Neodiprion lecontei: one gene and its partners. The protein of the gene in region 1 purifies or fractionates together with the protein of each later gene. This does not show direct contact. Links are inferred from orthologs where the notes say so. Each region holds a gene or a part of one and is shown in the gene's direction. Other genes may lie near its edges.

Evidence for each region.
Region 2: the proteins of bystin (region 1) and RNA-binding protein pno1 fractionate together in Homo sapiens (co-fractionation; 4 studies listed by BioGRID and IntAct, with this or other methods). This does not show direct contact. The link is inferred for Neodiprion lecontei from reciprocal best matches to the Homo sapiens genes BYSL and PNO1.
Region 3: the proteins of bystin (region 1) and serine/threonine-protein kinase RIO2 purify together in Homo sapiens (affinity purification with mass spectrometry; 3 studies listed by BioGRID and IntAct, with this or other methods). This does not show direct contact. The link is inferred for Neodiprion lecontei from reciprocal best matches to the Homo sapiens genes BYSL and RIOK2.

What each region holds. Positions count from the first base shown.
Region 1 is NC_060263.1:25,728,662-25,740,678, reverse strand, and holds bystin, read left to right. Parts: upstream 1-4,815; 5' UTR 4,816-4,935; coding exon 4,936-5,079; intron 5,080-6,581; coding exon 6,582-7,507; intron 7,508-7,887; coding exon 7,888-8,119; 3' UTR 8,120-9,308; downstream 9,309-12,017. Other genes in the region: DDB1- and CUL4-associated factor 7, read right to left, coding at 275-509, 1,388-1,940, 2,783-3,035; ribonuclease H2 subunit B, read right to left, coding at 10,311-10,326, 11,676-11,758, 11,923-12,017. UniProt on the Homo sapiens protein: Required for processing of 20S pre-rRNA precursor and biogenesis of 40S ribosomal subunits. May be required for trophinin-dependent regulation of cell adhesion during implantation of human embryos.
Region 2 is NC_060262.1:28,526,354-28,535,966, forward strand, and holds RNA-binding protein pno1, read left to right. Parts: upstream 1-7,036; 5' UTR 7,037-7,171; coding exon 7,172-7,270; intron 7,271-7,384; coding exon 7,385-7,474; intron 7,475-7,716; coding exon 7,717-8,244; 3' UTR 8,245-8,753; coding exon of another isoform or gene 8,754-8,916; 3' UTR 8,917-9,113; downstream 9,114-9,613. Other genes in the region: EARP-interacting protein homolog, read right to left, coding at 8,754-8,916, 9,146-9,442, 9,525-9,613. UniProt on the Homo sapiens protein: Part of the small subunit (SSU) processome, first precursor of the small eukaryotic ribosomal subunit.
Region 3 is NC_060262.1:6,596,048-6,607,765, reverse strand, and holds serine/threonine-protein kinase RIO2, read left to right. Parts: upstream 1-3,827; 5' UTR 3,828-4,227; coding exon 4,228-4,293; intron 4,294-4,692; coding exon 4,693-4,834; intron 4,835-5,132; coding exon 5,133-5,511; intron 5,512-6,071; coding exon 6,072-6,356; intron 6,357-6,451; coding exon 6,452-7,079; 3' UTR 7,080-7,603; downstream 7,604-11,718. Other genes in the region: protein zntD-like, read right to left, coding at 1-4, 233-579. UniProt on the Homo sapiens protein: Serine/threonine-protein kinase involved in the final steps of cytoplasmic maturation of the 40S ribosomal subunit. Involved in export of the 40S pre-ribosome particles (pre-40S) from the nucleus to the cytoplasm.

The sequences.
Region 1 (12,017 bases):
AGCCACCCTGTGTCTGATCATAGATTATTATTAGCTGTACGAATTTTTCGGTAAAGAAATCTACATAAAAAAACGGAAGGAGTTTGAAATATGAGTTCTAGAATATTGACTACACGTTCTCCATTGTTTAAGGTGCCTTGAAAGATATGGATAATTATTTCTTTTTTCTTAAATAAAAGTTACGTGTTCGAGATTTTATTTCCGTATAATTCCATGTTTATTTGTATGTGCAACCTCAATTTTATTTTAAAACAAATAACGTAGCAGATATTACCTAGACTCGTAGGATTTCAGCAGACTTATTGTAACAGATTGCAATCCAATCCGGTTGTGTTGCACCCCATTGGATCTGATTAACTTCACCTTCTGCAGCTGTGTACGCAAGAATTGGATCTTCTATGGCTCTTGGCATCTGCTGAATGTCCCAAATTAGTGCTTGGTGATCATCACCAGCCGTACAGATATGACAACTTGAATGCGGCGCCCAAGCTATTCCATTTACGCTTGCTCTGTTATAATAAACAAATCGAAAATATAATTATTATCTATAGATTATCTATATACATATATAGTAGATATCATGATCCATAACTTTGGAGTGAAATTGTTTATTCTATACGTGATTCTAATATTGATACTTTCAATAATGTTGTACTTTCGAAAACTTGGTGATCAGGAAATACTTTTTGATCAAATTTATTGTCATTCGGATAATATACCCAATAAAAATAGGAAAAATGATCACGAGTGAACTGTTGACATTAATATAACAACATAATATATTCAACATGACTATTTGATTTATCAAGTTGGTATCGTTCAATATGTAATTTTTTAAGATTGCTCTGTTGTCCATTTTGACCAATAAATAGCAGATTGATTCAACTATTGGATGAAAAAAAATATATTTTCAAGAAAATGTATGAAACAGTTTTCCAAACAAAACAAGTCAGCGTGAACGTTACAAATTGAACGAATCTATTGAAATTGTCACCGTTTGAAGTATCTTGAAATAAAAAAAAAACGGTGTTGAAGTTTCTGTTCGTAATTTCAGGCTCTATTTCTTTTTGCATTTCTAGGAAAATTACTGTATTTGTAAATATAATTTTCTTAAACTTGACTAACTTATCTTAAATGGTCTTAGATTGAATGTGAGCAAGAGTACCTACAACTTCTTTGATGGGACTGTGCTATAAAATTCACGCTATATGTAATATTGATAGTGGAGCATTGCGGCTTATTTTCCTTGTAACAATGTTTCTTCCAAGAAATAATTTCCCAAAACGAGAAAACTTTTAAAACAATTTGAAGCTACATTTGAAAAATGACATCATTGAAAATTCGATAGTGTGATGAAGGCAAGTAAGAACTATTGTGTCATATGTACCTGTGGTTATTTAGCCTAGCGACTGGTGTGCAAGGAACTCGAACATCCAAAATAATTACTTCGCACGCATCCATGGCAACGGTGGCTAAATAATTTGGATCTTGTTTGTTCCAGGCAAGGCGCAACAGTGGCGTATGCTGAGGATCTTCATATATAATTGTAGAATGTTCCAAGTGGCGCAAATCAAACATTCTCACAGACCCGTCAGCTCCTACCGATGCAAACATATCTCTTCCTCCGCCTGCTCGACTGAATGCAATATCATAGACCTCCTTGTCATGAGCAATCAATTGTGTTTTAACGTGACCAGCGACCACACTAATTCTCCCAACTACCTGCCCAGTTTCTAAGCCCCATATTGTGCAAGTTGTATCAATACTTGATGTTCCAACTAAATTTGGATCCACTTCATTCCAGTCGAATGATGTGAGGGGTGCACAAAAATCCGAATTTTTGTTATTATTCAGTACACACTCCAGTCGTGTTTCTGCGTCTATTGCACGCCAAACCCGCAGGTAATCTCCAGATGTGGCCAGCAAATCAGGAAACAGAGCTGCAACAAAATGTGTGTTATATTGAATATACCTATGAAGTTATTGATTTATACGATTGAAATCGGCCACAGGTTTTATCAACTTATTGTGCATGAAATCATTCAAGATTCATTGCAAAGAAACGATTCTTGATGAGGCAGCAAATTTAACAGGTGTGGTTAGTTACAGTAATCGATGCCACAATTTATTGTCTATTTAACATAAGGCTGAGCTTTGAGGTTAAAGTTTATAGCAGTGATGTAAATGGTTCCCGTAACATACAAATTCATAAACAATGGAACATATAAATGTGAGTTTAATACAAATTGTAGACTAGATCTAACTGTGAAAGTCTTAGATGTACAAAGCTGCACTCATGCTTGCAATTGTTTATTGATATAAGTATTTAAGATTAGTTATGGTACTATTAACGATATTTATTAATTTCGCCGAAGATAGCACACTACAGATTGACTCAAACTTGCATACAAAAAACTATCTCATTCAAAAACATGGTTTCGACCAAGCAGAAAATACCAAAAGAACTTCATGCCTCTGAGCATTGACATAAGAGGTTAATAAACTGTTGGCGATAATTCAAACCAAAAAAAAAAGCGAATTCAAATAAAACAAGTTTTGTATCGAAGTCTGACTGTGATAATGACATGCTGTTTTCAACATAATGATCACATGTAATCAATAATTCTTGAAAAAATTCTAGAAGATTACATCAATGAAAAACAAAAGATGACCAGTTTGTTCAGCTTTAAACTGAGTTATTTACTTTCAACAGTATTATACAATAAAGTGAGCTCGTTGTTTTACTTTTTGAGGATACAGTTGGTATAAGTGAGCTACGTACACTTGGCGTCAGGTATCCACATTATTTTGGTCGTTGGATAGGGATGATCGAAGGTACTTTTGGCAGTAAACTCGGAAGTTTCCTCATCGAGCGAAACAATCTGTACTTTGTTGTTATATTCTTCAACGAAGCTGCCTAATGCTAGACGAAATCTTTTGTCGGGGCGCACCGACCAGTTCATACTGTAAAGTGGCCACGGTGCTTCATATTTGTAAATTTCTTTTCGCTTTGGTGGAACACTATGTAGAGCCATTTTTTACCAACAATTGTTGAACTATTCAGTTCAAGTATTTACAGCATTAAAGCAATTTCTGCTTATTGTTTTTCTTCTCACAGAATAGCCAAGACCGAAATTCGGATCTTAGAATGCTACCATTCTATGGACCGGAGAGGATTTAAATTTGCGACTATGTTACTCAACTTTCAATCATTGTTGACATTTTATACACAAGAGTAATACAAGATTGAAATCTTCGAAATCACTAAACTATGTGACGATAAAATGTGAATGTTCGTTCATTTAAAACTCGTCCTTATGCACATTTGTTCGGAATTTTTTGTAAACACAATGGCAATCATAAAGTAAACACAATCGTATAGATCATCGACTGTAGCAGTTCACTAAGTCACAAATAACGTTCCGACTGTTCAGCTCCAGAAGTACAAATACTTAGACACTGACCCCTTCGATATTCCTAGTAGTTTTTTTACGACCCACCAACACGGGTCGAATTTTCATGGGCAGCAAAATGCTTCTACAGTATTTGCTGTCGAAATTTTCACTTTATTGTAAGTATGCGAATAAAGCAAGGAAGCGCTACTTAAACTCGGAGCAAACCTCTATCCGTGAGCGCTGAAACCGGACTACCGTCCCGTCCCACTCAGGCACGCTACTCGCTCGCTTTGCGCTTCTGGTTCTGCGCATGCGCGCTGCTCGCTTACTTCCCCCACTCTCTCCCGTCTGGCACGCGTGGTGCGGAGACTACCCCACAGTACAAAAATAATGGCGCGCAGCGTCTAAATAACGTTCACTATACTGCACATATGCATGGCGACAGAATTTCTACGCTCACCATGTCATATAATTTTGAAAAGGTCGTTTATATTAGATCGCCATATCAATCGCTAACATACCAGCTGAAGGTGATTTCGTTTACTACTAGGGTAAGATCTATGGCATATATGAAAACTAGCTTTACTAAGATGATTTATTGACTAAGGTAAGTGTACCAATTATCGACACGTCTAGACCCAATGATTCATCCATTTATTCTTCTAAATTATAAATTGAAGGCACACATTGCAAATTTCTCGATGACTAAAACCAATTCCTAGAAGGTTAGACACTACAAATTTATTTTTAATAATTTTATAACTGAGGATTAAGCATATGCAACCAAAAAAGGTAAATAATTGGGCCAGGGTCAATAACTGGGAAGGCTGGCAGGTTTTGTGCAAAAATTAAATCTATCACAAATATTATTAGTTAAGAATTACCATTTTCAATTGTAAGCCCGACTTTTCAAGCGACAGGTATGCGAAAGCAAGATCCACGTTTATCATTGTAAATTACGAAGTATCTGTTAATCAGCATAAATTTAATCAAGTCCACACGTAAATGATGTGGGCAAACGTATAAAAGAAAAGGAAAAATTAATAAAAGTAAAATATATAGTTAGCCACATCGGATATCGCTCTAGCGCGCTACCCGGTGCGCCACGGACTGCGTTGTCGGATGGTGACCGTTTAGTGTATATAACACGCTCGTAGTATTTCGAAATTGATTTTCTCAAAAACTATAGACTTTGAAATCGAACGTCTTTGGGGAATTGTTATTCAAGTCCTCACTGCTCAGTATCATAAGTATGAAAAATATGAAAAATGTCATTAGTGTAGCGTTCCCTTGTTAGAGCATATATACTAAGAGGGTGGTTACAGAGATGATAGCCGACATATACCTCTCTCTGTCACTCCTCCGCTACACTTTCTGTACACGCGAAGCTATCTCCAGTAGTACATGCTCTAAGGTGACTCCTCGCCCCTAAGAACATATGCTTCAGTGTTGGTTATGTATGTGATTCTAGCCACTATTCCACGTGCTGTCATTACTTCTCGATTCATCATTGACAATAAATTAAAATAATCATTGTGAAATGGGTAAAGCGAAGAAAATAAAGGTTTCGAAGCGAGATCGTCAGGATGTTAAAATTGGCTTAGCAGAACTGATAAACAGCGAAAAAGTGGTTAAGCCGAAGAACAGGACAAAAATTAGGCATCGACAAGATGAAGATGAAGAAGTATGTGTAATTCATCACAAATAAAAGTGGTTTTTTCATAATATCAGTCTCTGAAATTGAGTCGAACAAAAATTATCCCAGTTTTTCATGAGGTCGAAGTTCGTCACGTTAATTTAATGACGCAATTTTACAAAACATTTCCGGACTTTAGAATTTACATCTCAAATTATGTAAACCGTAATGAAGCAAAACATTCTCAATTTTTGAAACATCAACTCTTAGGTAATCCTATGGTTGCTAGTTAATAATTAGTTGCTCAATGTTCCATTTAGTCAATGTCACCAATGTCAAATTATTATATTTTTGTTACTGTTTAATAATTTTACACCAATTACAGATCATGAATATATTCTCCGCATTGTCTAAGCAGCTTTGCAATAATATCTTAGAATGCATGTTCTGTTATTGTTTGCTACATTTGAAAGGATCCTATAATATTGCTAAATACTATAGAATCTCAATTATCTGAACCTTAGGTCTTCAAACTCTGAATTATCCGAACATTGACTCAAAAAAACATTGTTAGCACAAAATATACATTGTTGTTCTCTGCCGTTTGATGAGAACCTCGCATGTTTGAACATACGTGAGCAGATTTTTCGTTTTTCGGCGCTATTCCACTTGTAATATTACTTCTACCGATAAAATAAGCGTTCGGTGTTTGAAAGAGATTTAATATAAACTGATTATAGATTCAAATTTGTGTTGTATATGTTATCATATCTTGAGATGAAAATTGCATTCCAGTTATTCGAACTTTTGATTAACTGAACTAGGCTCGGTCCCAATTAGTTCGGATAAAAGATGTTTTACTGCAATGGCTTAGCCTTTATAAACACATCGTGACATAAACATTACGATCCTCAGCCTCATAAAAAATTTTGTTGAAAATATCTAACGTTTTCTTGACATTTTCATTCAATATATGTCCCATTGAAGAATTATCTTTAAGCTCTACAGCATAATTTTTGTTATAATTTTAGACATTTTGTTTGATTAATTTTCAACCTTGCGTGCACATCTTGATAGATGCTAGTGCAATAAAAACATAACAGTATGAAAAATAAAAACTTGCTGTGTGGCTTTAAAAAGTATCACCTCAATAATCTATACAAAAACCCTGCAAATTGTGGTTTCTTAAGATTCAACAAAATATTAACATTTCATTCTACTTAATATGCCAGCAATGTGTTTTAAAATGGACCCCTCCAATCAATGTGGTTTTAGCCTGTGCCAACCCATTTACAAGTTTTTGCCAGCATGATCTGTCTGTTACACTAGGCCTGGCTCGATTAAAAATTGTACCTGTGTCCGCATAGGTGGTGACCACGTTGCTTGGAAGTGTCTGTTTCAAGAGGCATTCATGATGTTTGTGGCAATTGCATGAGATAAAATCATTCAATTTTCAAAATATTTACTTCGGGCGATTTTTATACGTATCTGTTTTAACCACGATTTTCACCTGACAATGAGTGGTTATTAAAGTAAAATGAATATTTCAGTTTGTCGACTCTGGTCTTTCACAAAAGATTTTATCACAAGCCAGGCGTCAACAAATGGAAATGGAGGAGGAGGAGGATGAAATGGAAAGACCTTCGAAGTCTCCAAAAAAACCTGTTACTAAACTTGGCAATGATGATAGCGAGGGGCAAGCAGAATCGAGTGAAGATGAAACAGGAAATCACTTTTACGACAACATAGAAATTAATGAAGAGGATGAACAGGCTTTGGAAATGTTTATGAACAGAGATAAAGCGCCGATGCGAACTCTAGCTGATATCATAATGGACAAGTTGACTGAGAAAAAGACTGAAATTCATACACAATTCTCTGATGCTGGTTCCATTCAGATGCAGGAACTTGATCCAAGGGTTCGACAAATGTATGAAGGAGTTAGGGATGTGCTGGCTAAATACCGCAGTGGAAAATTACCAAAAGCTTTCAAAATTGTGCCGAATTTGAAGAATTGGGAGCAGATATTGTACATTACAGATCCTCCTAAATGGTCTGCTGCTGCCATGTATCAGGCAACTAGAATTTTTGCATCCAATTTGAAAGAGAAAATGGCACAAAGATTTTTCAACCTTGTTTTATTACCTCGTGTCAGGGATGACCTTGCCGAATATAAAAGGCTGAATTTCCACCTATATCAAGCATTGAGAAAAGCTTTATTCAAGCCTGGTGGTTTTATGAAGGGCATACTATTACCACTTTTAGAATCTGGTTCTTGTACACTGAGGGAAGCTACCATAATTGGTTCGGTGATTGCCAAAAATTCTATTCCAATTTTACATTCGTCTGCAGCAATTTTAAAAATTGCAGAAATGGATTACACGGGTGCCAATAGCGTTTTTTTGAGAATATTTTTGGACAAAAAATATGCCCTTCCATATCGCGTCGTGGATGCTGTTGTATTTCATTTTCTGAGGTTTGTAATTTAGTATTTATAATTAGTTCTTCTTGTTACAAGAATATACCATTATTTTTCGGATTTGACAATTCAGTGAAATAGATATAGAGAAAAATAATCAATTCTAATTTCTGTGTTTTTGGTTGAAATGAAAACTTGTAGAATATCACTTTTGGTTTGTAACTGCATCAGTCAGTCTGGAAAGTAAATTGATTCTCTATGTGTAATGAACATGCGATAACTAATTCTTATTAGTTATTTTGATCAGTCAAAATTACACTTTTAATGGTGTGGCTCCCGATCACGATTCTCGGACACTAATGATATGTAACACATCCAATGTAAAGGTAACAGTAATCAATCGATTAACAATGTAAATGTTACTTATAAAATTTCAGATTTAGCACAGACTCAAGAGACTTGCCTGTTCTGTGGCATCAAGCACTTTTAACTTTTGTTCAGCGTTACAAAAGTGATGTCAGTTCGGAACAGAGGGATGCTCTGCTGGAATTATTGAAGAAACAATCACATCACTCGATTACTGGTGAAGTACGGAGAGAACTGCAACATGCCAAATGCAGGGATATTGAAGCTACAGAGCCGAAGAGTGAACCTATGTCGATTACATGAGAGGCTATTCTCGGAATTGGCTCAAGATGAGATGATATTAAAGTAATTACGCCTGTAATTCATTGTTTGTAACATGTAAATATTTAATAAAATGTCTAACATAAAATAAAAACCGTGTATCTTGATCAAGAATGTGTCGATTAATTTAAATAAATATTTAATAAAATATCTAACATGAAATAAAAACCGTGCATGTTGATCAAGAATGTATCGATTAATTTGAGTCAAGTCACTGAAGTTTCTTTATGTGTTTTTTAGTCAGATTACAAGATATTCAGTCATAATTTCAACCATATTTTATATGTTTGACGTGTTCTTCTTGAAAGTAAATGAGCTTTTCATGGACAGAGATAGGGATACAGCATAGCTGTTTCTGAATGTATATTATTATATTACATCTACAATATTGACATAATATTTCATCGTACAGCCAGGACAAAAACAAATACTTATCACTTATCCTCATACACTCTTTTCGACTCATACATACTTCTAATTCGAAACTTTTCATAGAGCTATCACAATCGACACCTCCAACTAATCATCAATAATATTCATCACTAATTAAGTACGACAAATATAAAATTGTAGTTTTCATTAAAATGACAAAACGGGAAAGTCGATTCGACGCAATATATAAAATAAAGTACAAAATATTCGTATACTGTTCAAACTAAACACATGGGATAATTTATGTGACTCCACATATACAGATATCAAATATGCTGTACCTCAGTGTCAGCGGTTTTCTGTTTCAAATTACAGTAACCATCAGATATCGTTTACATAATTTAAAAACAATCATATATTTACATTAATATCCTTCATGCATCAGGTGGAACTCAAACACATGTCATTGTTAATAGGATGCAAATCCACAGTAAATGACAATTAGCATTGAAGGTAGCTGTTTTCAAGTATTTGAGAAAATAAAAATGAAGTGCATGACTCTAGATACGAATTCACAAATAGAAATCATAAAAATATGCAATAAATACTGGATATAACACAGTTCAGATATCCAGATGAATGACTTCAATTTAAAGTAGCAAAAGTCGATTCTTGATTTGGATTTCCTGCGTGTAACATAGCTGCGAGTTTTTCAATAGAACTGCATGATAATCGTAAAATATGCTATATTCTAGATTATTATAACATTTCAATATTACCCTAATATGACTTTTGCAACTTTGGCTTTGAAAAATTACAATTAGTGAGGAAGAAATTTTCTGACAATTTTAAATATTGGTTACGAAAAAAATTATTGCTTTTTCGGACAGTCTTTTAAAATAAAGGATATTATAGGAAGCAAAAAGGAGCTAACCAACCAATAATGAAAAGGCTATAATATTACAAAATATATGAGACAAAAAAACACTCGCTTTTTTTCTTTTTCTATTTTAAGTATTACACAAGTTTCAATTGTAGGATTCGTTTGTTAGCTCCTTATTGCGTAAAATGCGTAATACTAGAATTTTATATCTAACGTATTCTAAGTTAAACATTGCAACAGTACAGGATAAATGTCTTCAAAAAACGTCGAGTGTTTACTTTTCACTTGATGTATTAATCTTCGCAGATCAACACCCTAAGTCTTGAATCTTTTCTTTTTAATTAATTCGAAATTCATCCCAAATGTTGAATACTTTTGTATCAGGAAAAGAAAATCGAAGGAATCAAACTCTATGTAAGAGTAATAATAAAATATAATTCGATAATCGTGAAATGTGTTAATATAAAATAAATCTTACTTATGCATTTAATGGAATAAATGACTAATTTTCGTTGAAATATTTTGAGCAACAGTTAACTGACGCAGATTTTGAATTACGTTTGACAGGTGAGATCAAATTATATATTATGAATCCATTGTGATGATTGATTACCATTCTAGATTAACAATTGCGGGGTTTTCTGGGCTATTTTTCCAACAATGTAAGTAGATAATTGAACATTGCTTAACCTTCAAATTTCCTTCAGATATTTTTACCAATTCAAATCTAAAGTTTAACACCAATAGGAACGCAGAGACTTCTCAGAATATTTTGAAGATCTCTTATAAATTTGGAAAACCAACTGGCGATTGATTGTTTCGTTGACTTGGTCACCGCTCATTTCTTCTTAAAAAAACTCGAAATATTCTTTGAACCAGCTGCTGCCTTCTGTCTGGACATCTCTTTCTTCGAAATGGTCAGAGGTTTTTGGGGCTACAATATTTGAAAAGATATTTTTAAAATAATCTGACACTTAGCTCTGGTAACTGATACATTTTAATTCACTGTCACTGTGAGCTCATTTCATGTAAATTTATAGCGAAACTATATTTCATAACCAAAATTAATATAAGACTACCCGATCGAGTCATTTGTTTGATTCCTATTTCACAAGTGCTAAGGCCTACGTTTGTTTTAGAAATTCATCAAGCATTTGACCAGTAAGTGTTCACAATTTATTATCCATTGAGCTTACTAATGTGGAAGTATAATATTTCAATTGGCAATGCATTTCAATGAAGGAAAAGTTGACTTTAAATTGCTGGTATAAAATGTATATTTTTTGTTATAACGAGTATATGTATATTCAGAGTACAGGGAAAACAGGAAAAACATTTGCTATGATTATCAAAATAAAGACAGTTATGAAATAATTTTATATGGTTTAGGATTGGAATATTCCTGCTCTTCATTCAAGGTTCATTACGAAAATGTAATTTTTTACTGTCATACAAGATGTATATCTTTGATAAATACTGAAAGTTATTGAAATCTGTTTTATTATGAACATCGATTGTTGAGTGAGATAATGCCCTCCCCTGAAGAAACAAGTCGCCTCAGTGAAACATAATGAAGACAAGATTTGACGAGTTATGAGTTCTCAGATGCAAGTCTTCCAACAAGCCAGCTAATGAGAACAAAACTAGTTTTCATACTGTTTCAACAAATTGGTTAGAATTTCCTGAATTAAAGCAACCTTTCCAATGCATAAATAGATATTGTTAACTCTGTTTAGAGTCTAAGAAATCAATAAATAAATTTCGTTAATGATACAAACGACTGCTTGATGATCATGTCATGATACTTTTTACACAGCTAGTGTATCCGAAGATATTTGCCACCTGATCCGCAGCCCTACAATCTAAGTTCGCTCACTTATGTCTTTAAGTTACAAAATAAATTTTGCATGAGAGGTTACAAAAACTAAATGTTGTCAGGGTTTGTAATCAGTTCTTTATACTTCAGAATAATTGTCAAACAAGGAATGATTTTCACTTATAAAAGTCACTTTTTCTGGGTTTATTGAAAACTTATTTTATATTCAATCTGGGACAGCAATGTTCATCATGCTTGTCACATCATAAACTATGAACCGATATATCATTAGAAAGCCGTACAAAATTAGGTCTTTGCATGGAAAAAAAGAAAATACATTTTTTAGATGAATATAAAGCAGAGAAATGTAAAACAATATGGTGGAATTTTTTGTTTTTTGTCAAAAAAGATGATTGCAGATGTTACAAGCAATTGAGTTTCACTGATTCTGTAATATATAAATTTACCTTAGCACGGGTGACGTCACATCGTTGTAGTTTTGAATTGGTTGTATTGGCTTCAATTTTCGTTTAATGGAAAAAAGGTTTCTCTGTTTTAAATGCATATAAAATTTTTATATGCAAAGAACAAAGTGTCTAGAAAGCTTGCACAATGAATTTTTCACCTAATTCTGTGAGATCTATTAAAAAGTTGTCATATGAAAACAAATCCCCGAGATTTTCAAATTTTCTATAATTTAGCATACGTACATACCTTTTCAGGTTTTGTTAAGTCTAGTGCTCCATTTCTTGGGATAGACTCTGACTCTGGTGTGTCTTTTTTAGCTTTCTTATCGTCGCTACTTTCCT
Region 2 (9,613 bases), on another chromosome or scaffold:
CTTGACAGCCGATTCGGAAACAATTTTTTGTTAACACAAATCCTAGAAAAAACCTGCATTATATACATATATATATATAATAATTTAGGACGAGTGGTCATCTCGAAAGCACAGACGTTTTTATGTGCGTAAAATAAGGTACGGGAAGAGGAGAGAAACCAATTTTCGATGTCAAAAACAGTTTATACATATTCATCATAAATTAGATGACTTTATTTTAAACTTAGACGTTCGTATGCATTTTTCTTTCAGTACAAGTAAAAAAAAAAAAAATTAAAAGAGCGTTGCTGGTACACTTGAAACACACGATCTGCGCAATTTGCGAATCTAACGCATACGCTGCAGCTAAACGACGGAGTTCAGATGTGTACGGTGGATTAAAAACAGGATGGTAATTGATACTCTGCTATTTAATACAATGTATGTATACGGATTCCGGTTACAACTGACTTTCTGTTGTCAGTCTCTGAGCTATGGAAGGATCTCTCGCGTCTGTCTTCGCGATAAAACTCTGAGATAAACTGCCGGCTTTCGACGTAAATTCTTTCGTTATTTTAGGTACAAACACGTTCCAACTTAAAACCTTTCGAGCTAGTTTGTTTAATCGCGGTAACCGGCGTTGGAACCATTTATTATTTCTTTTTAGCAGTTGGCTTACAAATGGAACCTAACGCCCCTGCAGAGTGTGGGATACTGCGCAGCGCATCATTATCTTCGGAATTGGTAACCCCGCTGCACAAGAGATTGTGAACGTTCACCTACTTACCAATCCAGCCGAAAATTGAATTGATTAATTAGTAACCGGTGTACGTATGTGAATACGATGGAATTTATAATATTGAACATGCTGCTATCAAGACTTCTTCGTATTTCTGCAGCTAAAGTATAAATATCATGGGATAATGTCGAACATTTTATTCTACAGGAGTTTGCAGAACGTCGTGTACACGCCTAAGAACTGGTACCAATTGATTATATTTTTCAGGAACAGGCTGGCTTTGAGATCGTAAAAGCTAACGGCTCTCCGAAGAATGCAAAGCAACGAATTCGTTACGTTTGCAGATCATTCGTTCGTTACATTCCGCGGCCTTATTCACTTCGTTCTCCCTGTACACTCGTAGTGAATAATAAAATTTAATCTTTAGTTACGACCCGTGAAAATCCACACTCAAAATTCATGATACCTGCAAAAGAATCTCAGCTTTTGGAACCATTCGTTGAAAATGGTTTAAGAATATCGTATCTAGAATTGGGGTCAAGCTACTGTGCAAACAAATTCTAAAGCTTTCAACTTTTGATTTCAGAAGAGGGACACATATTTGAACAGACTCAAATTGTATAGCTTGTTACCAAGGTTTGTCAAAGTTTAGCAGCACTATCGCCGCAACTTCGAAATTTTTCTGCGGGAAAAAATATATATTGGTTTCGAAAGTTATAAGAAAAAAAATCAACCGTCGGTGGGTTGTCCATTCCTCTTACAAGCATAACGGAACCAATATGATTCAAAAAAATATTTCTAGCTTCTGTTACAAGTCTATAGACGCGATTTAGCTTCCACCTTCACGAGCTTCTTGTATTCGTCAATGAGTCAGATTTCGATTAATTTAAGGAGGTCAGATTCATTCGAAATTAATAAGCAACATTATTTCTTTCCTCTTGGAATTCCACCGCATTCAGCAAAGCGAGGTAATGACCTGCAAAATACATACTGTCAGACAACTTTAATATCGGCTCTGACGTATAAATGATTGGTTTTGAATTTAAAACATTCAATATAACGTAAACTACCGTACTTACCGTATGAATCACTACGATACTGTATCTAAAGTGTGTCTTAAAAACAAAATTGACATAGTTTGAACGCGTTCTGAAATATTTGAGTGGTGGTGTGAAATCAAACCTGCGTTGGAATTCGTTATGTTGAGAGTATATAATACGTATACGTATATATGTAGACATATTATTTAGCAGCCGTTTCGGTTAGGTTAGAAAAAGAAGGGAAAGAAAAGGAAGAGAAACTATGTTAGCTGTCAACGTGACGTCAATGATTTTTATGATAATAGACGTCCGTTGACCGCTCAGCTGTTGTTGTCTGGCTTAAAGAAGGATCTTGTTATAAGTTAGTTAAGGACGTCGATTTATGGTGTTCCGATGCGAGCTGGAAATATCAACTATGTTCATTGCCCCAAAGCTTTCTGGTAACCCAAATAGTTAGTCTCCGAAGATGTTTCAGTATCACTCGATGCGTACACACGCACGTTTTTTTCCATCTTATCTGTACGCATTCACCAAAGATGCGTGTTCCGTGTGCGAGCGTACATCTAGTCACGTTACATTGCTATGGAGAGGATCAAGATTTCCGATTTGAACTCTCGCAGCTCGGTCGAACGCCGGTGATTTACACGTCAGCACGCGAGCGTAATCATGTAAGTCCATATTCACTGTCAATGGATGTTGCCGAAGTGGCAAGAAAAGAAGATCCGTGATCCTTAAATTCGCGTGGGAACCTCAATTAAGTTGGAACGTTCCTGTCATACTTTGTTGGTGATTTATAAATTTATACGTACGCATGTACAACGCTACATACCTGCAATCTTGGAGAGACCTATAATTGCCTATGGGTGTATTCATATAGCTAGTCACCGTCGATGAGACATACTTAACGTGTTTGACGAAGCACTCATCGAGTAGAGAAAAAAATGTTCAATTTCTACGAAGGAGAAATCTGCCAACTTAACATCATCGTCCGACTGTTTGTTCAACGTTCAAGAAGCTTCTTCTATTACGATTTAGGCAGCCATTATACAGAGTTTGTTTCTAATTAACAAATAATCGCGTCGAAGTTCAAACACATGAATATCTTAAAGGTGTGAATAAAAATAGTAAAAGAAAGAGAGAGAACGAAATTCTTAGCGTAGCAGAACAGTGTTAGTGTAAAGTATGACGAGAATTTTTTTGCTAGATCAAAGAAAGAATTTCGCAAGTATTATTATACAACGAAATTCTTTGATAGCTTACCAATGACGTTCACTGAGCAAATAAATTTTACCGTACTACCTTAATACCAGCGATATTCGCAATGCCAAGGTGCCGGAAAGAAGTTTTGTTGTTCTTATTTTAAGACTCTGTTTGAATTTATTTACCGGGACAATAAATGTATACTGTTTCTCCAGAGAAGACGCACGGTGCCAAAATTTAACACTCGCAAGGTGGAATAATATGGGAAAATTGATCGCTCGGGAGAAACGCGTACTGTAAGGGATTCGCTGTTTTCTAACGGCTTGAACAATTTGTCCAGCCCCTGGAATAAAGTGTCTGTCAAAGAATGCAATTTGCACTCGTAAAGGTGCGCGTCCCGGGTCTCCCGGTGAGCAAAGAACTACCGCGTCGCGAAATATATACGACAGAAGCGTATAATTCCGCAGGCATAACTCTTTTATTTCGTGTGCCACCGTTGCGTGGTTCGCGTCGTATTGGCCCAGGGCTATGCAGAAGGGGCATAATATGTGTAGTCGAGAAACGAAGCCCGGGTAATTGGCGCGTCCTAGGGTAGTAATATTCCGGGCGGATCGTTGGGCTCGAGATACATGTAGGATGCCTAGGTATACGCTGTAATTCGGTATTCGCGCGCCAATAATTCGATCCTTGTCAGAGGCAGCAAGATTCTGGGAATATAACTGCACCCGCACGGTTCAACGTATGCGGTATTCATCCATCGGGCTGACGCGGCAGGTAAAACGTGATTAGGTTTGGATCTGTATAGGTATATAGAATATAAGAGGGTAAAAAACGATCCAACGAACGAAGGAAGGAAGGAACAGCGCTGACTCTCACGCGGTGTCCCCGGCTCGCAGTCCCACGCTATTATTGAAACCATACCTACTAATAACCACATGACAATTGGTTAATGGGCCCGGCGGCCGATAGTGGCGAAGGTAGCGAATGGACCTGGTCCCGGGTACCGGGTAACGGGGACGGGTGGGTAAGCTGGCGGTGTTTTTTAAGTATCGAAAAGGGATGTGGAAATTGTTTCGTAATGAGGGTGATGTTAGAACAACGTGGTCGTAGTTGAGTAGTCTTTGTTTTAGAATCCCCCTTGGGGTCCTGAGTGAGCGTTTTACCACACAGGTAGAGAATGCGGCCCGCGCCGTGCTCCCTGCTCCCATGGCCCCTCTGAGCCCCCCAAGAACCGCCGACAACGCCGACGAACGGACGCGCACACATCCAGCGCCCGGATGGATCCACATCCAAGTACCCACATCCAACCCGTCCCTTGCAGGACCGGCAGCAGCCAGCAGCCAGCAGCGGCATCGGCAGCCACCCTGCAACGACGACCAGCCGCCCATTCTCGGTCGCGGACCCCCCTCGCTCCGGCCAACCCGCCCACCATCCTTCCTTCCCAGGACCCGTAGGATGACCGTGTACTATCCAGGTAATGGCTTTATTCCAACAGATAAACTTGCTCTCTAGTTCTAGTCGAGCGTCATCTTCCTCCAGGCAATATACTATTCACGGGTCTCTGCTACGCCGGACCGCGTTCGCTTAATGACAATTTCAGGTAGTAGGAATGCTGGAAACCGAAGATCTCTTTTAACGGAATTTCGTGTACTTGGGAATGCACTCGACAAGTTCGGCTCGCTTTAATTTGTTTCGGTTATGTTAGAACAGAATTTTCATCTTAGACCTTTGGGGATGCACTGCTACAGCCACGCTACCCAACGGTTTGCGGAATTAGTGATGGCATGGTTTTTCGCCGCCCTCCCCCCCCCCCCCCCCCCCGACAACCTTCTCTTTTTCTCTTCGTCTTCCACTCACTTCCACTTCCAGGGAGCTTCCCTCTTCCACTTTCACGCTGACACTGTCTCTAAACTCGACTCTTGTGCCGCTTCTCTCATTCTTCGCCCTTATATTCGCGTCCCATCTTTCGTTAACTGACCCAGACTTTAGTGGCACTCCACGGTTACCGCATTTGCTCGTTACAATTTGTATCACCTCCGGACATAGCTGTGTATTGCTTGAATTCAGATCTTCCAATTGTGTAGCTATTTTAGCAAAAACATTGCTAAACTTGTGTAATTGCAAAGCTGTTTATAATATCTGCTTTACATAATTGTTCTGAACATCGTAACACTGTTCATTTTTCGAACATCATCAAATGTATAAATACACAATATATATTGCCATACCTGGGTCAGGCGAGTAGAGGCTCGCAAGCTCACAATCGTAACTCTTTCGTACGATAAAATCTATCCTACGGATTCTCGAACAGGTGTATCTTGATAATACTACAGATGCATAAAAGATTTCTTGAATCATTTGTCATTTTTATTGGATCATAACGGTCGCTTCAACTAACTAGTCGACGACTTATACGTTGTTCTAGCGTGTAGAGGCAATTCCCATTCCGTCTCGATGCGAAGTAAATTCAAATGAGCAGCTGCCGGTCGAGACTACGGACTTGCGCTGTCAGTTTATACCTAAGATTAAAGTAGAATATGGTACGCCAAAAACTAATTGTAAGATCGGCGGAAATTCTACCCATCGATCGCTTTGCAAATAGGCACTTTATACCTTTTAGTCTGTAACTTTGGCACCTGGAGTAGAAGGGTCAAGCTACTTTCTGATTGCAGGTTCGAAAGATGAAGTCGAGAATTAAATAAATCCAATAATACTCATCCGTATATGATGACTGCATCGAAACGAAAGGTCTTTCGGTTTGGTTTTTTTATTTTGGATTGGTATCCAAATCAATCTGATGCGAAGCGGCCTTCGACAGATTACTTCCGAGTTACTTGATTATTCGTGAATATGAAAGATAACATACGTCCGTCGTCGAAATCTAATATTGCGATCGGGGGAAATATATCAACAATCATGTATGATTGATAAATTGATGACTGTTCGAAAAATATTATTCACAGAATTTTCAAGGTAGATATACATTAATGAGTTTAGTTGAGTGAAAAATTTTAAGCGTAGTCGTCTCAGATGTGCCTACCATTATGACCAAACATTTTAATACTTCATGTACAACGGAAAATTCCATATTGTTTCAACGCAGTGATAAACGTATGTATTATATGAAGAGACGATTATTAATAATTATTAAAAACCCCTTTGTCGATCAATCCTGTACAGATTACATACATACAATTTGAAACTATTTTCAATTACTTTTTCGACATCGTTGTGACTTTTTTTCTCTTGACTGGCTAAGGCAGAATGACGACATCATAGCTAACAGTATACCAGCGGGATAAAGGTAATTTAAATTTCTTGATTTTTATCACGTGCCTCGCCAATTTCTGGCAAGTAAATTGTTTGATATGTGCAGAACTTTATTTATATTTGAGGCTTGGGATTCATAGGAACATCAACTTTATCCTGCAGAACAACGTTGAAGCTAATAGGCTTACAGTGAAGTCACAATCTCGTTCATTTTTACTAAAATTGCACATATATGAAAACTCTATTGCTTGCCTTGAACTTGAGTATAAGGGCATTAGGTACAAGCAACTACAAATATGTAGAGTGCTGAAGAGTTCGGGGGTGCAACAATTAGCCTGCAATTATTGGCTAGTCGACATGGTGCAGTGACGGCCGCTAATGACACTGCTCAATAATTGTATAAAATATTGTTACATCTCCACAATCCCCATCTCGGCGTGGAATTCTACAGGACCGAACTATTTTTATATTTTCTCTGTAAGGTTTCTGTAAATTCCCATGCATTACTACTGAGGCCTGCAGGCGCACATTTAGAGCTTACTGTATATTCGGCTATTTTCTAACGAGTTGTCAGTAATAAAATTGCCATCAATATTGCACGAATAATGCTGAAGATATGCTAGTACCTGAAATTAAATCAACGTAAAATATGAATTTGATGTCATGTCGGTAAGTAAGAGCAAGTGATGTGTCAGATTTCGAATATGTATGTATGTACGAATCATGGTTATTTTGTATCGTCTATGATTGATAGTCACAGAATGCTGAGTCGAGTTATCCTTCGTTTCTCAACGTGTACGTCTATGGTTGAGAATTATAAAAGATCCAACGAGATCTTTGGCTCTCTGCAATAAAATATCCACGCTATTTTGACTTTTTACAGACATTTGTTTTCAAGTTGAAGTAAGATAAAAATTAAAACATATATTAAGTTTGGTAAAACATGACTGAAAACAATGTCGAGATGCAAACCAACGAAGAATTACAATCCAAGGCGAAGACGTCGGGAAAAAGACGCCAGAATAGTGAAACTCACATGGAAGTAAGAGGTTATGTTACTACAAATTCTTAGGTTCTCAGTATTCTTCGTCACTTTTAATCATAACCTGCTATTGTTCTATCGAATATTGGAAAATTTATTCATGCTGATTTTCAGGTCGATGCGGTGAATGGTATCGAAGGGAAGTCGAAAACTAAATCTTCTGTCAAACGAGCCAAAAATGTCCAAGGTGGTGAGCAACGGAAGGTGAGTATTCCAATGATCATTTCGCGATATAGTGAAACTTCTCTTAACAGCGGACACCTCTTTATAACGGACAAGTTAGAAGTCTCCGGTAGAAAAGCATAATGAAAAATATACCTTTTAGTAACGGACACTTCTCTATAGCGGACAAGATTTCTGGTCTCAAAGGTGTTTGCTATTAGGAAGTTTCACTGTAATGTCAACATTTCAACAACATGTTAAAATAATTCACGTGATTTCTTCAGGTTCCAGTGCCTGCGCATAGATATACACCGCTTAAAGAGAATTGGATGAAGATCTTCACCCCTGTTGTTGAGCATCTACAACTTCAAATTCGCTTTAATTTGAAATCTAGAAATGTAGAAATTCGTACATGCCCTGACACACCTGATATATCAAATCTTCAAAAAGCTGCTGATTTTGTGCGGGCATTCATCAATGGTTTTGAAGTCGAAGATGCATTGGCCTTATTGCGGTTGGATGATTTATTTGTCGAAACATTCGAGGTTCAAGATGTGAAACCACTGAAGGGTGACCATTTGTCCAGAGCGATAGGTAGGTTAGCTGGCAAAGGGGGTAGAACAAAATTTACCATTGAAAATGTGACAAAAACAAGAATAGTTTTGGCTGATACTAAAATTCATATTCTTGGATCTTTCCAAAATATACAACTTGCACGAAGAGCAATTTGCAATTTAATCTTGGGAAGTCCACCATCAAAAGTTTATGGTCAATTGAGGAATGTCGCTGGCCGAATATCAGAGCGATTGTAATTAAACGTTTCAGTCAAAACTCCCCAGCAAAATTTATTTTCTTTTTATGTTTACCATATTGCTAACAAACGTAAACCGTGTCAGTGAAAATAACAGTCTTAAATATTTGGATTGAGCAATTGTAACAGATTAGCAAATTCTCATTTGCTTCGATACAAACTGCTTACGTATAATTATGTGTATTTGTGGCTAACTTTTTTTTGTACACTGGAAGAAATACTTCAAACTATTGTACATAATTCAGAGAGAGGAATATAAATCCTACCTTTTGTCTATGACAAAAATTATTTCACATTTTTACTCATGGTTTCAATTATCTCTTGCGAGTTGTAACAAAGTATGTATGTCGAATAATTACATAATACTCTGTATCAACTGCAGGTTGATTGGTATATCAATAATATTGGTCGTCACTTGTACCAGTTGAGCAATTCTTTACTCTTACGCAAAATGAAAACTAGGTTTTTTCTAAATTTATATAAAATTTAATTCTTTATTACTTTTAATATTTACAATAGTATTTGGTACTTATATTTTCGTGGCACTTTGTTAATTACCAGTCTGCCATCGTAACTCAGTGACGCGAAAGTCCACGGGTCAGCAGATGACCATTCAACTCCATAAACACTGTCTTCATGCTCCTCGTACCTTCCTACAACGCTATCTTCCATTCTGAAATTGTTGGTTATATAAAATAGAATTGATCTTCAGAGTCGGTAATAGATCTCTAATCGATGCTTGATCAAAACTTGACTTTGACCCTTGAGTGTAAGTACTGGGCACATAATTGAGCAAGCTCTATTGAAAATTATTCACGAATCCCAATAATAACGAACATGGATTGATATTTATCTCATCATGCGTCATAAGGTGACAAAAAAATAAAATTGAATACGCCTACTTGTTTTTGTTGGAGCCATCATCGGTTTGCGCAGGTTCGTCTTCGCTTGAAATTAGGTGACCAAACGGTTCTGAAGAAATAGATGATATACTGCATAATATTACTCGAGAATCACTACTAGATGTTAGAACTAGTTGGTCGTGGAAACGGTTTATTCTGATACTCCAAACCCAATGAGAATGCTCCATTCGCGACATTACAGGCTCAGATGGCTGTCGGATATCCCAAAATTTCATATAGCCATCATCACCACAGGTTGACAAGATGTATTGACGGTTGGTGTTAAAATCCAGGTCTCTGCAATGTCGTAGGTTCAATACATTGTTGCTGAATTTGCAAAATTTAGTGAAAATATTTAGATGAGTTGATTAATCTTCACCTTATAATTTGAGAGTGAGCTGACTGGATTGCCCACACCTGATCAGTTGGATTTCTAAAATCCCAACCACGCACGTGGTTGTCATTTAA
Region 3 (11,718 bases), on another chromosome or scaffold:
TGATCTGAAAGGAATATGATTACTGTTTTGAATGGAATCGTCTGAATATCTTTGTCGTGCATCAGTTTACGTTTCGTTTCAGTTTTATCCGTAAGAAAATGTCGCACAGATTTTCTTCATCGGAGCAAACCCAACAATCATATCTAGCCTCATGAAATACACTAATTCTATTACACTGTCCTACTGCACAGTTTTCAGTGAAGATCACCGATTCAGAGATCTCTAGACTTACGTGGGCTTGATCCTGCGACTTGTTGCAGGTCGATGGACGTGCGGCAAGTTGATGGGTCGACCCCGTATAAGGTAAATCATTTCGTCCACCGCGTAAAGTAAACAGAACCCGCCGCAGAATAATAGCCCTGCGTATAAGGCAGGGAGAGATTGTATGGACTCTGGAAGCATGTGCAGCGCGCAAGTGGCAAATAAAACTCCAGCGCCAAGACAAAGCAATGAAGAGGAGACCTGCCTTCGTTGTCCACTGCAGTTTCTGCATAATACGGGTAATGTTCCGATGAAGATACTCCCCCCGAATATCAACGCCATGGACAACATCTTCGCGACCAAATCGTTGAATTCCATCGTTTCAAGATAGGTACACGATTTGCGGTAAGAGTCGAAACTTTTCTACACCAAACTTTACACTCAACGATTCAACACTCTACAGCTTACCGCGACAAACAGTAGTGAATAATTGCCATGAACTTGAACGAGAGTTACCCCTTTTTTCTTTATTTATAACTCCAATAATCTCAACGGTTCGCAGTGTGTTGTCTGTTGTGCCTGGCATGAAAATGGAATGCTTGATTGCGCTGAAGTGATGAAACCGGAATTATGCACATCGAAGTATTCAGTCGCGTAAAAGTGGTTAATTTTCTCACGGGCGAAAAGGCGTCTACAAATTAACTTCACTTCACGTCCAAGCATACCAAAGCAATGTTTATCCCGACAATACGTCAATGCATTGTGATAATAATTACGAATTATAAATTATGCTCTTGGACAGCACGCAGCAGAGTTTATAAGACACAATCCCCACATAACTTGTTCGATGTAACAATACCAATGATTACGTTATCTCGGAGACTCCGCTATAAATGCTAGATGCAGGTCACCGATAGCAGTAATGCATGTGTTTGATATAGAGAATACATTTGCCAAACAATCATCGATCTCTCGTTTTCGAGGTCACGTGAAGTCGGTCAAGTGGAAGTTTAATCACTGCTTTGAAACAATGAACCAAATTTTTGAAGTTATCTCAAATGCCTGCCTATGGCCTCATAAACATGTTGATTTTCCGAGGCAATGACTTCATGTGAAGATCAATACTCTGATATTATAATTACGACATATCTTCGAAAACGAAAATACGCAAAATTGTTTGCACATTTCACTAAAAAGAAACGCAATAAATAAAAATTCTGTGAATTGTTCTCACTGAACTGAAAAGCACCGTCTGCACGTATGGTGGTGGGTAAATGCTCGGATATAAATACGCATAGAATGAATCACGTTCCGCATGTATGAGGATTTCATCAATTGTCTTTTCACGCAGAGACGCGCCATAAGAATCCATCAAAAAGCAAAAATTGTTAGGCAAAACTTGTTAGGCAAAAATTGTTAGAGAAAAATTTGAGTTGTAGATTGAGTGGACACTTGGGTTTCGTTAAAAAAAAAATGAGAATACTTCTGATATCTATGTAACTTTCTGAAGGGAGAAAGCTATTCCTTATACTCTCTCAATTCTACGCAAAATTATCCTGCACGTAATTCAAGCTACGTAATTGACACTCCAACGGATTGTCATCAAATCACAATTTAGTCTCCAACAGAGACCCGATGGACCTTAATTCGCGTAGTTGTGCAACAAAAATGATTGTAAACGTTGCAAGTTGCATGATTCTAGACTTTTTTTCAATTGTATGTACGCAATGTTATATATTCTACTATTAGTCCCACTCACAACTTCAGAACTAGGCTTACCTTTTAGTAATTTTAAAACTTTCTTTTAAACCTTAGCTTCAGCAAATTGGTCGATTATTTTTTTCAAGGTCAAACTGGCGTGCTATCTTTTTTTTCGATTGACAACGTTGCCAAAGAACTTCGACGATGTTGCAACATCCTATGCCTCAGATAGGTTTCCATAAATTTTAAAACATAAAAGCTGCTTTCGTATGCTGCTGCAGTAACTGACATGGTTCAAAAACTTGTGCATGCAGTAATTGTATCACTGAAACTACTTGATGCGGGGTTGTGAATCAAAAGCAGTTCCGCTACTCCGCGAATGGAAGTTAATTTTGGAAGATGACTATTGTAGCTAGGTTTTAAGCGGAGCAGTTCTGAACACAAGCTTGCTGACAATTCCGTTGAATACCTTGATAACAGCACATCTGATGCAGTCAGAATAGTTCCATCGGATGACTGTAATAAAAACGGGGGTTATAGGCATTTGAAATTGACACTCAACCGATTAACAGACTGAAACCTGGTGTCAAGTTGGGTAATTGTTACATCTAGCATTCTATCAAACACCTCAATTTTGAAACGCTTCTCATAGTTAGAAGTACGTTCATCTCCCCGCAACTCGTCGAAAAATCGCCTAATACGTCGTACTCGCGTTTCGGGAAAAATGGGCTCAATTTTCCATGTATTTGACAACTCAATCGCATCCCAGCCTTCACGGAGTCCCAATCATTTCTCATGTCTGCGAACTGAATAATGAGTGTGGAAAGCATCTCAACTGATTTCTCTATGTCTTTATCAGTTCCTTGAGTTCCTTACTTTACGCTAATAATTCTGCCAACGATAGTAAATTTCGCAAGAAATTCCGCGTTGCTTTGATTCCTCATGTGATTCAATATCGCGACCTAAATGAGTCGAATCTGCGATTCGTTTTACAAATTTCGCATCTGAATTCGATTTATCAAAGAGCCAATACGGCCGACAAGAAAAAATATTTCTTGTTGTCGAATAACCCAACCATCATCTTGTGATTTTCATCGGCCCCTCACCTGTATAAAGATTCGCGCTGAACCCTCGATTCTTGTTACGACCAGTTGTGTCTTTAGCAACACTACCCACTGGTAGACTCAGACCAAGTTTAAAAATTAGTTGTTTGATTCCGGCGGCGAACATTGTGAAAATTAGCTCAATCTGATCGGTAGTGTTGCAATCAACATTTGCATAAGGTTGTTCATTGGCCGAATTTGTTATCGAAGTTGCGTTTGGCACAGATGTATTTATGTGGATCTGCTTATTCATTTGGAGTGAAAATGAGCCCCTGAGGGCGCGGCGTACTGTCGTAATATTACGTCAGAAAACAGTGTAACTGGCGGAATTTCATCAGTCGCAGAGGATTTTCTATAATTGATTTCGCTAATTTAGGCCACGCTACTCAAGCTCGGAGTTTCGATGGCTTCCTTCTCCAACCGCCTCTTCACTTACAGTGTCAACACGCTGCACGATTTCACCCCGAATCCCACATTCAACACGCAGCAATCTCGCTTTTGCGTACGTGAGAAGTGCCCTTTATAACCATTCATATTCATCTGCTTCTCACAACATCGACCGGTTTCCACTCGCGCACGCGACTCAACTCAACGACCACCGGTAACCTCCCGGTAACAACAAAGGGAGCATTCGGAGTCAAGTACTCGCTCAACTATACTTCACTTGTGAGTGAAGTTACGAAGCGCCGCCACCTGGCGGTGAACCTGAGAATTCAGTCGCCGGGCACAGATTACTCCACCGCAGTGCCCTACCCTAGCGTGCGCCCCTCGCTCAGAAGCATCTTGCTCCAACTGCTCCATGGTTGCTACGCCACTGACCCAGACTCAGGTAAGCAACCTGGATTGCTCATCACTAACAGCCTAATTGTAGGCAAGAGATATGCGTATGTAACCGCCTAATGGTATGCAATTTGACATACAAAATTACAGTAAAATAGGTTCATGGAACTGCTTGGAACTGAGTTTCGACCATGAGAGAGGGGCGCACAGTATGGATGAGTACCGCTTTTAATTAACTCTGACTTGTGCCATTTGTTCGTTCACTCAGTGTAATACACGATAAGCCAAAAGAGTTTCAATAATATGTTTTAGAATAAAAGTGAAAAAGTGTTACAAGTGTATGCTCCGTTGAGCAAGAAAGAGCTGACTGCTCTGACACGTGTCTGCAAATTTGCGAAACATATTACCGTAACCTCTAAGAACATAACCTCTAAAAACCATCATGGGAAAGTTGAACGTGACAATGTTGCGTTACCTAAGTCGTGAAGATTTTCGCGTCCTAACAGCCGTGAGTGAAATTAATAGTATCAATGAAAGCACTCTTATTTTTCTTTCGAACTCGAGTACAGCGCTATTTCTGCAGTCGAGTAGTCCATGAATGCAAATCTGCGGTGTGATATCTGTGAGGCGTCACATGTAGATTTTGTTGATGCAAACCAAGATCAATAAAACTATGTTTTATCCATTTATCAATCATTAAGGGTTGAACACAACACATCGGTTCAATTTCTTTTCGCTTACTTTTGTGAGAACCGATACCAAGTTGACATGCAATTTAGACTCTATTATTCATCTCAAATTGTTTCAATGTACAGATCACAGTTTGTGAAATTCCCTTAATAATAATCGAATTATACCTAATAATTCTGACACATTTCTGAAATCATAATTTTATGAATTGTTTCAGATTGAAATGGGAATGAAGAATCACGAACTTGTTCCAGGATCATTGGCTGCTCAGATAGCTAATCTACGGCATGGCGGAGTACACAAATTGCTGAAAGAGTTGTGTAAACATCGTTTGTTGAGTTACGAACGTGGAAAACATTGTGAGTGGTTTTTATTCTGGATGACAAGCAGGATTAGGGAATTTCGGTTGATCTGCTGGATCATAGGACTGCTAACTGCAGACTTCTTTAAGTGCCGGTCGCTTTTTGGACCGTAACTTCCATTTACTTCATCATTTCAAAGGCTTTTAGAGTGTTACCTATTGATTTATTTTCAGAAAAAATTATTAGACAACTTGGATTACTATTTTTATTACAAAACTCATCTTTTTACTATTCGTAAACAGAATCTATAGAGTCGAATCGAATACTTTCATGATTAACAAAATTGTCATTACAGATGACGGTTATCGTCTGACTAATTCAGGGTACGACTATCTGGCTCTGAAGGTTCTGGCAACGCGAGGTGTCGTTTCATCGTTCGGCAACCAGATTGGAACTGGAAAAGAGTCGAATATCTATGTAGTAGCTGACGAGGAAGGAAATCCTGTCTGCTTGAAGCTACACAGGCTGGGACGCACTTGTTTCAGAAATATAAAGGATAAAAGAGATTATCATCAGCACAGAAAATCCATGTCTTGGCTCTACCTTTCTCGAATATCAGCTACACGGGAATTCGCCTACATGAAGGCACTTCTTGATCGAGGATTTCCTGTACCAAAGCCCATCGATTTTAATAGACATTGCCTCGTTATGGAGCTTATTGACGGCAAACCAATGTACGGTTCAAAATTTGTGGGAAACTTCTAATTTTCTATTGACCTGTATGTAGCGAGGTCTGCGCAAGTGAATAACTGAAAAAGTGGGTGAATTTCGTGAATCATGTGCGGACAACTAATTACTCAGTTCAATTGCAGTTTGCTTTATTTAAACGTTTGTAGACCGAGATTCATTCACTTTTGATTCATTAGACTCAATTTTCCGGAAACAATGTTATTAATAATAACGTCAATTTCGCTTGGTGATATATTTTGCCCACGATATCTTAGAAATGGCTTAACCGATTGACTCTAAATTCGGAAAGAGCATTCTTAGATACTTTATACTCTTTGCTACAATCTGGAATTTTCTTTTTATTGAAACGGTAACTATTTATAATTTGAATTCGACTTTTTGTCCAAAATCGACAATATTAATATTCAGTTAACAAAAACTATATGATAGTTGAAAAAAAGTAGGTTCGTATGAAACAGAATAAACTATGCAGGAATACTCTGAAAATTTAGAATAAATTGAGAACAAACTAATAAGTATTGAATACTTTAAATATGTTGGACAGGTGTGGCGTTTACGAGGTTGATGACGTAGAAGGTCTCTACCAAGATCTGATGGATCTTATTTATCAGCTCGCAAATCACGGTGTTATTCATGGAGATTTCAACGAATTCAACATCATGATAACCAACGAAGGAAAGCCAGTAATAATTGACTTCCCTCAAATGATTTCAACACAGCATCCAAACGCTGAATTAATGTTCGACAGAGATGTGAACTGTATTCGGGACTTTTTCAGAAGGCGCTTCGCATACGAAAGTGAATTCCATCCAAAGTTTTCGGATATCTCGTGAGTATTAAATGGCTTATTATTCACTCTTTCACGTGATAACTGCATACCATATTTCATGTTCAAATATTTAATTCCAAATTTCCTCCTTTAAGGCGTGAAGACTGTATAGACATAGAAGTAAGCGCAAGTGGGTTGACAAAAAAAATGGAAAAAGATCTGCTTATAGAGATGGGAATAAATGAAGATGACATGGATAGCGAAGATAACGATGACGAAGTAGCTGACGGATACAATCTAGAAAATGAAATTGAAAAATTGAAACTTGAAGTGCAGAAAGTATCGGAAGAAGACTTCAAGGCAGATCTAGGGGATTCTCAAAAATCGGGCAAAACTACAGAAGCTACGGAAAAAAATACCGAGCCAAAAGATATCAAAGTCGACACAATAGGAAAACAGCAATCTATTCTGGCAGAGGATAACGATTTACAAAAAACCGATGTCTTCGCCCCAAATTTAAACTGCAATGTATCGGACGACGAGTCGGTTTACAGCCAAGCACAGAGCGTGGCTCAAAGTGTTAGAAGTATTTCAACAGCAGCTACAATCGCTCCAGATGTAATTAAAAAGCGAGTTAGATCATCGTTGGAGAAAAGAGCGAGGAAAAACAACTCTAGAAAAACGCTTGCAAAGGGTGAGGCCAGCGCCACAACCAGAAGTCGTAGAGAAAATCGCGACACCATCAGAGAATCTACCGGCTCTGGTATTTGGGGCTGTGAATAATTGTCTGGACGTGTTACTGCGGAACTTCTGTAAAGGAAAAATCGATTATTGGGTGAATGTAAGGTTTACAATACGATGCTTGATTTTCGCGTGTATGTGTACATAATCTAGTGAAATTCTATTTTCTTTTAATCGATCAGCTAAATAATACGGTAAAGCTGTGCGGGTTCCCGAAATCTCGATAAAAAAATCCCAGAATAGTGGGGAAACCGGAAATTGCTAAGAAACCCTAAACGTGGGTAACCTAACTTACCTAATAGTTATCATATTGGGCAAATACTAAATACTAATAATAAATTAGTATATCCAAATAACATCAATATTTTCAAAAAAAATATCTTGAAAATTTTGACAACAATGATGTTCACGGAATTCCGAAAATCTCGAGAACCCTACTCGAAATCAATAAATTTTTTCCGACCCAAGAAATTCTGGTACCCGCACGGCCCTATTATGTAGGTATATTATAATTTATAAGATTCTCGCGAAATCGTGCTCCAGAAAATACAACTACATACAAAACAGCGGTGGTGTTGTTAATTTTATTGTGGTTTGGCTCACAAGATATTCTGATTCACCAGAAAAGTTTAAGTCCCGGGAAGCTCTACGTATTTTCCGTTGATTTAGGTCACTAGCAGCCGTAGAAACTCGCGTTAAATCGCATTATTGAACGCAGGGTCTCATCTTGATCAATTTCCTGATGATTTCTTCGAAGGGCGACGTTCTGCACACTCCTCAAATTGACCGGCCAATAATAAGTTAATTTGCTGGTCTATTTCTTGATTTATTTCTCAAATTTTCGTACATTAGGAGAATCAGACATGTTACCGAATTTTTTACTACTATCATTAACTGCTCAATAAACCAAATTTATCTCAATTTCGAAGAAATCTGGAATATTACTTAATCGGAAATTATAATCAATTTTGTTTCTGTGTTTCACATTCTTTTCCTATTGAAAACAATAAATCTTATCAGTAAAATTAGAAACCTGATTCTTTCTGAGATCTTTGTCGTTACGAAGAAACGTATTTACGCGATTGAAAATGAAAATTCAAGTAATCCCGAATATTTTTCCGCAAACATCGTCGCATGTTTTTTTTCTCGATCATGAAAAATCATGAAAGTATCGATGAAATTTAAAACTTGAGATAAGTCCCGTACAAGATATCGCGAAACGTAATCGTAATTGCACCATTTCACTGCTTTTGATAACAGGAGCGTATTTATCTTCACGTTCAAATTTCAAACTTGATCGAACGCTTTCTGTATTTCTTAATCAGCAATATCTCTCCATCCATCCTTCGTTACGTAATTGTATTTATGTACATCCGCAGCGCAATATAAACGATAAGTTTTAACCCGTAAGACTTTCGATTTTTATCTAAGAAAATTAATTTTTTTTTTTTCACTCGACGTTTTATTCCTCGATCGTGTCTTGCCAGCAATAAAAGATGCGGCCTGAATTCTACTGTAATTTATTATTACAGCTGTTGACTCTACTAAATTATCGTTGAAAATATTGTTACGACATACGGCAAGACTGAAATTTTCACGCGATTCAACTGCCGTTGAATTCCGACGTACAATTTTTAATTCACTCGTCTTCTATCGATCAAATAATTACTTCACTTACAAATCATTTTCATTTCAATGCCGTATTAGTCACTGATACAAAATCAGTTGTCCGTACATTCGTTGGATCGAGTCTGAATCTTTAAATGTTAGTTAACTTTGAGTTGACGAAAGTTTTATCTAGCTTCAGAGAACTTTATCTCTTTCAATCGGCGGTCTTCGTCAAAGGTTCTGCACAATTCAAAATTGACCGCAGTTTCGATTTGTCATATTTTTTGCTTCAATCTTTGCGAAGCGATTGAATTTTTTAACTGCTAAATTATAAACAGCAAACAGTCTGTCTCCGTTAATAAGTATTTTCTATTTTTAGGTGGTTAAAATAAGGTCGAACAAAGCGTTATTACTTTTTCTCTGAATTGGAACAATTCGTATCAACCTGTTTTTAACGATTCTTTTTGTCGTACAGTTCTCGACCTCGATTCGAGTATCGTAATGCCTTAAACGTGAAGGTCGATTATGAAAAGATGTAATTGACTTTTTGACCCGAGTTGAGGGCCTTTTTCAGAATCTGATGCCCGTATGTTATATGTGACTGCAATTGAATTAACGGCAAGTGACAGACTTATTTGCGTAGTAGCTTACATGTACACACGTGCTCAATTGACGCAATTCTCATGACCGCGTTGAATGAGATTAGGAATTAAAATTTGAACTCGTGCATATTGTAAAAACCTATGGTTCGTGTTTTTAATGTTTTCTATTTTTTTTATTATTCTTCACCGGGCGTCACGAGTTTTAAACGAGAAATTAATTTCCATGGAATGCTAGAAAAAGATAAATATCTAGATTAGAAAAAAAAAATCATTTACGTGGATACATGATGATTTTCCAACTGTGAATAGCCTGCTGAACATTATTAATTATTTATGCCTAGGTCAGTACCACCTCAAATTTTAATATCTCTTTACCATGTGTAACTTTGCAATAGGAATAACCCAACTTATTTACTAGCAAATGCCAGAGTCGATTGTAATTAATCGTAATCTCGTCTTTATTATCAACTATACACTGTTCGGAGAAACTATGTATTGTACAAAAAAAATAAGGCGAATATAAAATATAAACAAATATGTTGATAAAAATTTTATCACTAATTAATTAATTACGAACCATTGCGCCGAGTTGAAACTGTTGATAAATCAACGAATTAATGAGTTCAAAAATTAAACTATTTATGTTCGAGCGATGTGGGGATATAAAACACGAAGAAACAACGGGGAAAAAAAAGCAACCACAATCGCGACTAAATCAAATCAACACCTCTGAGTAATATTGATGCTATCTCTCGGCTTGGAGTATTCGAACGTTCGCGTAGCGAAGAAATCGTAATCTCCTCGTCATTCAAATTGGAGAGACCGAAAGCGCCGGCTTAGATAAATAATTATTATGCGAAATAAAAAAGCTCTTATCCAGGTCGGATCAGCTGGCGGGATTTGCGGTGTCATAAGAGATATGACCATGCATACGTCGGTACATGTGATGTGTGAAAAATAATACTGGTACGTGGCACGACAGAAGAATTAGACAACGGAAATTGCAATTAGGAAATTTCAAACTATCAAAATTGACTAAGTTGATTTTTAAACGACATCGAAAGTGCAGTGTAAACTGAATGGCGAATCTCATGTCGTCGGCATCCCATTAAACGATCAAGAAGAATAGTGAAAAAATTTAGAAGAGTCAGGAAAATCGGCTGTTCGATTTGATATGGAAAGCCACGTGTGTATAATATTTATTATACCTGATATACGTATCAAGTGCAGATTTATATCTGCGAAATACTTTAAGAACTGGGTATAAAACTAATCCGACTCGAAAGATATTCGATCATGAAGTAGGATGTTGTGTAAAAGAAAGCAAATTCGGTATTTTCGGACCGACCGTAAGTTTGCAATATGAGTGGTAGAAGACGAATATCGCAAATACTCGAGGCAAAAAAACCGCTGCCACCTTTTTGCGCGCAATTCTTTACACAATAAGAGTATGTTATGCGTTTTTTTCACGAAATTGAGGTTAGGATCGCGTAATGTCAGATTTATTCGCGACAGCGCATGCGCGCGGTACAGAAAATACCAGTTTTAAGCCCTAGGAGTTGAACGCAGTCTTTTCTGTACTACGCGCATGCGCATTAGCGGATTCACGCTGCCGTTGTAGAGTCGGTTAGTTTGCGTACGGAAAACACACATGAAAAAACATGTTTGCGTTACGTAAAATCTTATTAGAGTCGTAGCAGGTTGAGCTCTGCATTTGTGCCAGTCAACATCTTATCTCTTTACTCACGTGGAAGATTATAGCCAAAATAAAAGTACTCTTATTAAAAGGCGAACCGGCGAAAGGTGTTTATTAAAGAGGGGAGACGTGCGTACAGTACGAAGGTCCAGCAACAGTCACTGTTGGTTTACAATAATGATGATCCGAATGATATCGTAACGTGATTTCAGATGTCAAACAAGAATCTCACGCAATCAATGGTAAACCCGAACCGATCCAATATACCGACCTTTATTTGTTTTTACAGACACACGCGCGTAAAAAATTGCTTGCAAAATTTCGTTCCTGATCCAACAACTTTTCGTCAAGTTCAGAAAATGTCAAATTCGACTGGTTTACATATGTGTTCGATATCGTGCAGTATTTCGAACTTTTAACGGTCTGTATACACACACATGATACGTATTGCAAAAACGTAACATCTGTGTCATAAATAGTACGCACTTCACTCTAGTACTTGTGACTATGTACATGCATAATACGATCTTCACACTTGTGTTTATCGGTGTGCAAGACTTGTGTACCTATAAAATTTACCCGTCGTAATTGTTTATTCGTAAATTTTACCTTGGCATGGTTTAACTAAACAAGACGCAAATAATATGCCCGTTTTATAAGTACGCTTGAATTAATTTGTACGGTAAAAATAATTGAGATGAAAGTTCGAGTGTGTCAGGCACCTAGTACAAAAAAACTCGACAGAGACCCTGACATCTCGGAGTTTGAATATATT